Nothobranchius furzeri: one gene and its partner. Each later gene encodes a partner of the first gene's protein in a complex. Links are inferred from orthologs where the notes say so. Each region holds a gene or a part of one and is shown on either strand. Other genes may lie near its edges.

Region 1 (4,487 bases):
TACAATATGTCTTGTTTATTTCTCTGTGTACATGTGTAATATTTAAATTAGCATTTACCACATCTGGCAATTTGTTTCATTGACCTACTGAACTTTAAATGGTGCCATGACAGTTAGTCATTAGGGATGCACAGTATAATAATGGTCATTTTTTAACATATCAAAGTAAGTAAAGTAAAGTAAAACTGTGCCGATATTAACAACTAATAATTTTTTCCATCTTATCTTTCTTTGTGTGTTTGTTTCAGAGGGTGAGGGGGCGCTGATGTGTAATTGTTTAGTCATGTGACAGGGATGGTAATCATCTCAGAAGCAAAAATCGGTGTGGTGTGTGAATACAGTAAAATAAACTCGCACACACATATAGTTTGCTGCACTCTATAGAAATAAAGTGAAACATTCCAAAATTCAGCTTGTATAATTTTCAGTCTATACAAACTCTCATGATTTCAGAAGCATACATGTCAGCGTGTAAATCTATTTTGGTATTGGAAAATATCGGTCATCGGCCATAACAACGGTAATATCGGATATGGGCCCAAAATTTTCATATTGGTGCATCCCTGTCATGACTCACTGTGATTACAAAGTAAAAGAAAGGTTATTCAGAAGCTGCTGCAAGACGACCATTTTTGCAGCAGTGTTGACATCTTTATTCTGAGATACTTTACTTTTCTTGAAAGCTTTTCATTTCAATGAACCATATTTAAATATCATTTTATATAAAAAGTGTCTACATTTGATTAATTGTATTAAGTGAAAACTTTAATTACTATATGCACTTGCTTTTTAAATTTAAGAAAATTATATAAGTTTTCTTATGTGTATTTAAATGTTAATGCTCTCTAGTGGCTAACCTAGATAAGCACTATTTACGCAAATGTTTTATTTTGAAGACACCTACCGGAAGTCATACTACGACTCGATACATAATGTTGCAATTGACGTAACTGTAGCAACGGGACCGTGCGCACACACGGTGAAAGTTATTTTAGTAGATATAACTCATTCAGCAACTTATCAGGAGCTCCTGTAGGTTTTCTCGGAGCAAAAACAAGACAAAATAATGTCTGTTCTACTTTGTGTGAGCTGTGACTGTGGAAAGAGAGTGGGGGTTACACTGCCATCTGCTGGACGTTGTGGATAAGGACAGGTATCAGCATCAGGTGACCCAGAATGTTATTTAGTTTCCGCCGTTAAATAATTTCTACGTAAAATATTCAGCTGGTGGAATACATCAGCTGATACATCTTTGAAAAAGCTGGTAGACTGTTTAAAAAAACGTACACAACACAAAGTAACAATAAATGATGCATAACGGGGGAAAATAAGTTGTTCCCATCGGTTGTTCCCTGGTTGATCCTTATATTTTGTTCATGACCTCACCCCGACACTTGATGGCGGTAGTCTGCTCCCACCGGCGGCGACTTCATACAACAGAATAAGAACCACAGCGACAGTCCTTCGTGTTTTGTTTTTATTTTTATTTGTGAGTAAGATTTTTACGTTGAATTCATACTTTTGTGAGAGTATGATACATTGTACATACCTTTAAGATGTTTACGTTACGCTGTCTGTTGTTAAAGCTTAACCTTTCCTTCCTGGAAAGTTAGCTCCGGTGGCTAACGCTTGCCAGTGTTAGCCAAGGTTTTGTGCGTCTTTTATATTTGTTCTGTATGTAATACATAAATTATAAGTACAACGCGCTGTCTAATTAGACTCAACATCTATTTTCTGCTAGTCTGGGTCTAAAACGGCACAGCTATGTATAATAAAGTGCTTTTGTGACGTTTTTAGGCTCATCCAAACCAAGGCATGTTAACTCCTGTGTGACCTGCAGCAGCTGCCTGTAAAGATGAATCGAGCTAAACCGACAACTGTGAGACGCCCCAGTACTGCTAAAACTTCAGGTTTGAGCCGTTAAGCAACAATGAGCCGTGCCTTCGTTGAACCCGGCGTAAACGTGACATCTGTCTGTCTCAGGTCATCCTCCACCAGGAGATTTTATCGCTCTGGGCTCAAAGAGCTCGGCTGCAGAACCCAAACCTCCTCCAGCCCTCCTGAAGCCAGCGTCCACAGGTTTACCTCCTGACCGTAAGAGAGAGCCCCCGTCTACCCTGCCACCCTCATCGGGTCTGTCCAACCTCACCAAGCGATCCAAATTATCCACCACCCCTCCTGTCAGTGCTCTGGGACGGCTGGCTGATGTTGCAGCAGTGGACAAGAGGGCTATATCACCCTCGATAAAGGAGCCATCAGTTGTACCTATTGAAGGTTAAACAACAGCTTTGTGTTTGTCACTCCTAGCAGTGACGTCCTTTATTGCAAACCTTTGTGTAACTCTGACAGATGGTTCTTTTCGCTACAGTGTCTCCGGTAGTTCTGCTGGACGAAATTGAAGCTGCAGAGTCGGAGGGAAATGATGATCACATCGAGGGGTTGTTATGTGGAGCCGTGAAACAGCTGAAAATGAACAGAGCCAAGCCTGACATCACTCTGTACCTAAGCCTCATGTTTCTGGCAAAAATCAAGCCAAATGTTTTTGCAACAGAAGGAATTATTGAGGTGAGACTTTCTGTCCGGTGGAGACGTCTGTAGTAGAATTACACACGTTTTATTTGATTTCGTTGTCACAATTTAAGCTGTAAAGTTATTACTGACGCCCGACAATGAAAACAAAAATTCTAATCTCATCTGAACTCAGTTTTGCAGATGGAATTAAACTCGGTTCTTTTTATTCTCAACATGTCTCACTCTCGTCTAAAGGCCTTGTGCAGCCTCCTGCGCCGCGACGCTTCGATCAACTTTAAGGCAAAAGGCAACAGCCTGGTGTCGGTCCTGGCGTGCAATCTGCTCATGGCGGCCTATGAAGAGGATGAGAACTGGCCTGAGATCTTTGTGAAAGTGAGAACATTCAGGAAATTAGCTGGAGCAACACAATGTGTCGATTAAGTGAGTTTTGGTACAAATGGTTCTTCTTTAGGTGTACATCGAGGACTCGCTGGGGGAGCGGATCTGGGTCGACAGCTGTCACTGTAAGAATTTTGTTGACAACATCCAGACAGCTTTTAGTACCAAGATGCCACCGAAGAGTATGCTGTTGCAGGCTGATACCGGTCGCACTGCTGGAGATCTCAGCGCAGGTGGAGCTTCACCTGAAGTTGCTGCGATTTGTTTAAAGTGCTTCAGTTTTAGACCATTGCTTGTTTTTTGTGTCTGATTTTCAGGCAACAGCCCTCATCCCTCCATCCCAGATGAAGACGACACTCAGACAGAGTTGTTAATAGCAGAAGAGAAGCTAAGTCCCGAGGATGAAGGGCAGGTTATGCCAAGGTAGAGTGTTCACAACATTTATTTTTTTGAAAGTTAACTTTCCTTTTTTCACGTTTGAAATAAATAGTTTTTCCTTGTTTGCTGCAGGTACGAGGAGCTAGCCGAGAGCGTGGAGGACTACGTGCTGGACGTCCTCAGGGATCAGTTGAACCGCAGGCAGCCGATGGACAACGTCTCTCGCAATTTGCTGCGTCTGCTCACAGCCACGTGCGGCTACAAAGAGGCACGCTACTTGGCTGTGCAGAGGCTGGAGATGTGGCTCCAGAACCCAAAGGTGAGGAGTCGGGTTTAGTGGAGGGGATGCTTTTCATTGTCACATCTTAGCTGTGCAAGAGCGTTCGTCAGAAGTTCGGAGACACAACTGGAGTGTCTGGCTTTGGCCCAGAAACCAGACGTGAAAGCTAACTAAACACCCGTTGGTGCAGGTGAGTTAGGACCCAAGTATTTTGTTTGGAAATGAAAATAAGCAACACTTTGTGATTAAATCTAATTATTAACCAGTTTTCTGTCCAGAACATGCAGAAATGATTAGTGCTAGCAATCTGGCTTCAGCTCAGATTTCATCTTTAATGTTAAAACCGTTGAACACGCTATGATCTTAATGCAGAGCAGCGGCTGACTTTACCAAACATTTTCTTACCTGCTTTGGGAGTGTGAAATCAGAAGGGGTATTATATTTTTGTCTGCTGTTCATGCGTGTCAAAGCGGTGGCTTCTGAGCGTCCTCACATACCTGAGACATAGCAGGTGAACAAAGACTTCTCAAACATCAAATTCCATTAAAGAACATTTAATGTGCAAAAAAAAAAAACTGTTTATAAAAACCTTTCAGAGAATTTTTACGTCGATTATTTTTCCAAACAATGCAACAAGAATTCTCATAGCATGGATAAAGACGAGGAGATTTTAAACTGAACACGTGCTAAATGTGATGAAAACACAAACTCGTTTGGATTTGAGTAAAAAAAACATTGAAATGGTGTTTGCATTACGCTTTATTCCCGTCACTGTAGTCTTCCTCAGGGCTTTGCCGCTGTTGGTGGCATCACTTTCTTCTCCGTTTATCAGCGGGCAGCCAATGACGGCGTTGCCCCCTGCTGCCCGCGCTCTCCTCACCGACGTCACAATCACGACCCAATCTCCTCTGTTCATGGT
Region 2 (4,451 bases), on another chromosome or scaffold:
CATGAATCAGATTTTAGACATATTTTTAAGTTGCCTCACGCAGTTCTGCAACTTTTATTGCCTGACTTTGTATTGATTTATTCAAACTACAGATATTGAGAATGTGAGCTCCCATCATCACCTTTGAGGGGACACAAAGCCTCTGAACTGCAATAACTGAGAGGTTCGCCTTTAGTTTTTAACTCAATAAGATGCTATTAATGCAATTTTACATTATGATGTAAAAATTGCACCTCCACGTCAGAAATAGACCAATATATTTGTTGGCCGACATATTTTTATAAATCAGCATCAGCTGATACACCCGTTTAGAGGGGCCGATTTAAAAACTGAAACAGCCACAGGCAGTCCAGTGCTGCTGCAGGATTTTATTTAAATGTGCGTGTGTGTTCCTGATCTACTTAATAAATGTTTAAAAACATTCTTCTTAACTGAAGTATTTTTTGTTTACCCGTTTTTATTTAAGACTTGGTCAGTTTATGATTTGTTCGATTACCTTTGGCTAAATGTTTGATTTTAATACGAGCGGTGCAAAAAAAATTAAGATACAAGAGTTGTTTAAATTCAGAGTTCAACAACGGATCCATGTTCAGAAACGTTGTGCATCATGTTTTTGTCAGTGACATCTAAGCATGCAAATAAGGTGGAAAATGTCGAGTTATCGGCCGCGAACATCGGTAGCAAATATCGGCCATCAGCTGACCATGACCCCCATATATCAGCATCAGTATCAGCATCTGAAAACCCCATATCAGTGGATCTCTACACCTGATTTCCCCAGACACCCAAAAGCTGACGCTTGTCTCCCACTGACCTCCGCACAGGCCTTCAAGCAGGTTTTTTTGAAACCCAGCAGCTCCAGAACATCCTTCCTGGAAGGGTCTTCCTCAGTGGTTTTGATGATAATGTGCCTGAGCACCACGGCTAGTCCTGCCCTGCACAGGCGCCCGCTCTCATCCACCGCTGCCGGGAGACGGCAGCTCCTCACCAGCTGGGGCAGATCCTCCAGCTGGACCCAGCTGACACCAACAGGCACTGGGAGCTGGCTCCTGAAAGCGTCCGAGCAGCTACTGGTGTAAACCATGAACACTTTGAAGGACTTGCACTCGCAGTATGATAGGAGAAACATAACTATGGACGTGTGCAGGGGGAGACGCAGCTCCTCGTTCTGGGAACAAACCTCTAAGAAGAGGGAGAGATGTTGCTCTTTTTTCTCGTTGTGCTTCATTGTAAATAAACTAGAAGGACAGTAAAACAATCAGTTAGTTTTATCATTGTTTTAGTGTTCTCTGTTGGTACTTTTACGTCTAGATTACTTAAATTCAACATATGACCCAAGAAAAATGACTTACCTGAAACAGGCGGACCGGTGTGTTTTGGTGATTCTTCTTCTGCTGTTTTTTCACTAGCATAGCTCCACAGCGCCGCCAGCGGTCTTCTCAAACGTTTCAAAACTCTCTTCATGAAAGAGTAACACCTATGTACAAAATATGTACCGCAAAGGAAAACATACGTGGGATGAATACTTATTTTATTATAACCAAAATAGTATAATAACCACGCGAACGCGAATACAAATTTCGCAAAACGTTCCGCCCTTGCAGACTCCGGACATATTTGTCGGTTACTCAAATGTGAAGACGAAACGCCGACGGAAGTGTTGCTCAGTTTTCCGTTGTTCAATAGAAAGAAAATATTCCGGTAAAACAGAAAATACACCCAGTCTCGGGTAAGCCTGTGTTTATGATAATTATGAGCTTCAATTTTAGAATTATAAAGCGACCTCGGTAACTACCGCGGTGCTTCTGTGGTTGTAGTCCGTCTTCCTGTTTTTACTCAGAAACCAAATATTTGCCAATGTTTAAAGTCATTCACAGCAGTTGGATCGGTGGGACTCGGCTTATAGGCGCCGGCAGTTCTTTTTACTTTGATGAAATGATACTAATTCACAGCATTACGTGAATTGTTATTGTTTGATTTCTAGTGGAAGCGATGGCTGGACCTGTCAGTTTGGAGCTGGATCCCATCTTCCTAAAAGGACTGAGTTATCTACATTCCAAGAGCAAAGATTCAGCTGAGAAGCTCAAAGCTCTACTTGATGAGTCCCTTGCTAGAGGCAGCGATTCCTCTTATCGCTCTTCACAAAAAGTAAGATAATTCATTCTCATATACACTCACCTAAAGGATTATTAGGAACACCTGTTCAACTTCTCCTTAATGCAATTATCTAATCAATCAATCACATGGCGGTTGCTTCAGTGCATTTTGGGGTGTGGTCCTGGTCAAGGCAATCTCCTGAACCCCAAATGCCACGGGCTACCTGAGCATTGTTTCTGACCATGTCCATCCCTTCATGACCACCTTGTACCCATCCTCTGGTGGCTAATTCCAGCAGGATAATGCACCGTGTCATAAAGCTCCAGTCATTTCAAACTGGTTTCTTGAACATGACAATGAGTTCACTGTACTACAACGGCCCCCACAGTCACCAGATCTCAACCCGATAGAGCATCTGTGGAACGGGAGCTCCGTGCCCTGGATGTGCATCCCACAAATCTTCCATCAACTGCAAGATGCTATCCTACCAATATGGGCCAAGATTTCTAAAGAATGCTTTCAGCACCTTGTTGAATCAATGCCACGTACAATTAAGACAGTTCTGAAGGCGAAAGGGGGTCAAACACCGTATTAGTGTGGTGTTCTTAATAATCCTTTAGGTGAGTGTAGAGAAATCCCCTTAAAGAGCAAGTCACCCCCTACCAGAGTCTTACTCCACTCCCACTTCCTGTTTGAAAAATGCAACAAATGCTGTTACCTGGCAGACCGAGGGGGTGGAGCCACTAACAAATACACACACAGGCTCACAATGACTTTGTGACATCATAATGTACTTCTTAGACAATAGCAATGGCAGAGTTTTTACCTGAAGACGACGTAACACTGACAGTTTTAGGCAGATTATTTAAATTTATCTAAGATGCACCAAAGTGCCAAGTTATTGACTACAAGTGTCTACAGCATGATTAGACACTCATTTATATAGTTTATCAGCAAGAAAGAAATTTGGGGGGGGGGGGGGGGGGGGGGGGGCTGACTTGCTCTTTAATGTCATTCGTATGACATTGTTTTAAAACCAAGTGCTTGTGCCTTCTGTGTGATTGTTTTGTCCTCAGGAGGTGGAAGTGTCAAAGGCATCCGTGTCAAAGCTGAGTTTAAGTAAAGAGCCCAAGTCTTCAAGTTCTTCTTCTGGCAGCAGCGGTGGAAGTAGTAAATCCAGCTCAGAGAAAGGCAAGAAAGAAGGCGAGAAGAGGTCATCAGAGAAGGTGTGGAAGACATTTTTCCAATTTTTACTAATGATCCCAGTAATCTGTGTCGTGTTGCTGTTCAATTGGGAAGTAAAAGTGCACAAATGAATGAAAAGTGCATATTATATAACTCTAAAGCTTTAAAGCAGAATCCGATTTAAATATGTGATCAGGTGTTTTTTGTTTGTGTGATTTAGTCAAACTTCCTTTTGTATTTTGCTGAAAAACAGGCCAGGGTTGACGTGAGCGAAGTGGACCCCCCCAAAAAGCCTCGTTTAGAGAAACAAGAGAACCGCTCCTCTCCAATCACATTTCAGACGAGCAAAGACCTCCTACCAAACATAAACGACTACGACGAGACAAACGCTGACGACTTTGCCATGGAAATGGGTCTGGCCTGCGTGGTTTGCAGGTACGAGTAGCCAATCGTGTAGATTTGTCAGCATGTTATTCCCTCAAATTAATCAGATCACCATTTTAAGCAGAAATTCAGTCTTTTTTTTTTAAATAATTAATTCTCTCAGACAAATGACGGTGACCATGGGAAACCAGTTGGTGGAGTGCCAAGAGTGTCATAATCTCTACCACCAGGACTGCCACAAACCTCAAGTGACTGATAAGGAAGTGAATGACCCACGGCTTGTGTGGTATTGTGCCCGTTGCACCAGGCAAATGAAACGGATGGTGAGGAAAATCAAGTCACGATCCTGCATCACCTTTTTAATGATGAACTAACTTGTTTGTTTGTTTGTTTGTTGACCAGGCTCAGAAGCCTCCTCAGAAACCATCCCCTGCATCTGCATCTTCAGCACCGGTTGTTAAAGACCCGCTGGTGAAAAAGACAGAGCTGAAGGCTAAAACCGATACAACCAGCACCTTCCAGGCCTTCAAGAGGACAGAGGTGAAGGTGTGTGTGAGTATTTTAATTAAAAATGACATCCTCAGTCTTGTTTCTACTAACCAGTAAGGGGTTTAGAGGTAAGAAAAGCAACAGGAACAGTTCCTTTTCTTTCCTTAATTGTTTAGAAGATTTGTTTCTGCGTTTGGATTCAGACAATATGGCAGTTTTAGTGTCAAATATATTCAATCTTATTAGTTTAAGACCTTTTAGGGATCATTTACCAATTAGAATACATTTGTTTTAAG

What was found.
Region 2: ints1 (region 1) and ints12 share a complex: the UniProt entries of both Homo sapiens proteins name them as parts of the integrator complex. The link is inferred for Nothobranchius furzeri from reciprocal best matches to the Homo sapiens genes INTS1 and INTS12.

Annotation. Positions count from the first base shown.
Region 1 is NC_091745.1:5,274,763-5,279,249, reverse strand, and holds the start of ints1 (integrator complex subunit 1), read left to right. Parts: upstream 1-1,392; 5' UTR 1,393-1,489; intron 1,490-1,797; 5' UTR 1,798-1,855; coding exon 1,856-1,910; intron 1,911-1,983; coding exon 1,984-2,274; intron 2,275-2,368; coding exon 2,369-2,565; intron 2,566-2,766; coding exon 2,767-2,904; intron 2,905-2,983; coding exon 2,984-3,143; intron 3,144-3,227; coding exon 3,228-3,333; intron 3,334-3,420; coding exon 3,421-3,607; intron 3,608-4,487. UniProt on the Homo sapiens protein: Component of the integrator complex, a multiprotein complex that terminates RNA polymerase II (Pol II) transcription in the promoter-proximal region of genes.
Region 2 is NC_091746.1:80,674,623-80,679,073, forward strand, and holds the start of ints12 (integrator complex subunit 12), read left to right. Parts: upstream 1-1,602; 5' UTR 1,603-1,729; intron 1,730-1,984; 5' UTR 1,985-1,992; coding exon 1,993-2,148; intron 2,149-3,173; coding exon 3,174-3,323; intron 3,324-3,535; coding exon 3,536-3,717; intron 3,718-3,829; coding exon 3,830-3,989; intron 3,990-4,068; coding exon 4,069-4,218; intron 4,219-4,451. Other genes in the region: gstcd (glutathione S-transferase C-terminal domain-containing protein), read right to left, coding at 815-1,228. UniProt on the Homo sapiens protein: Component of the integrator complex, a multiprotein complex that terminates RNA polymerase II (Pol II) transcription in the promoter-proximal region of genes.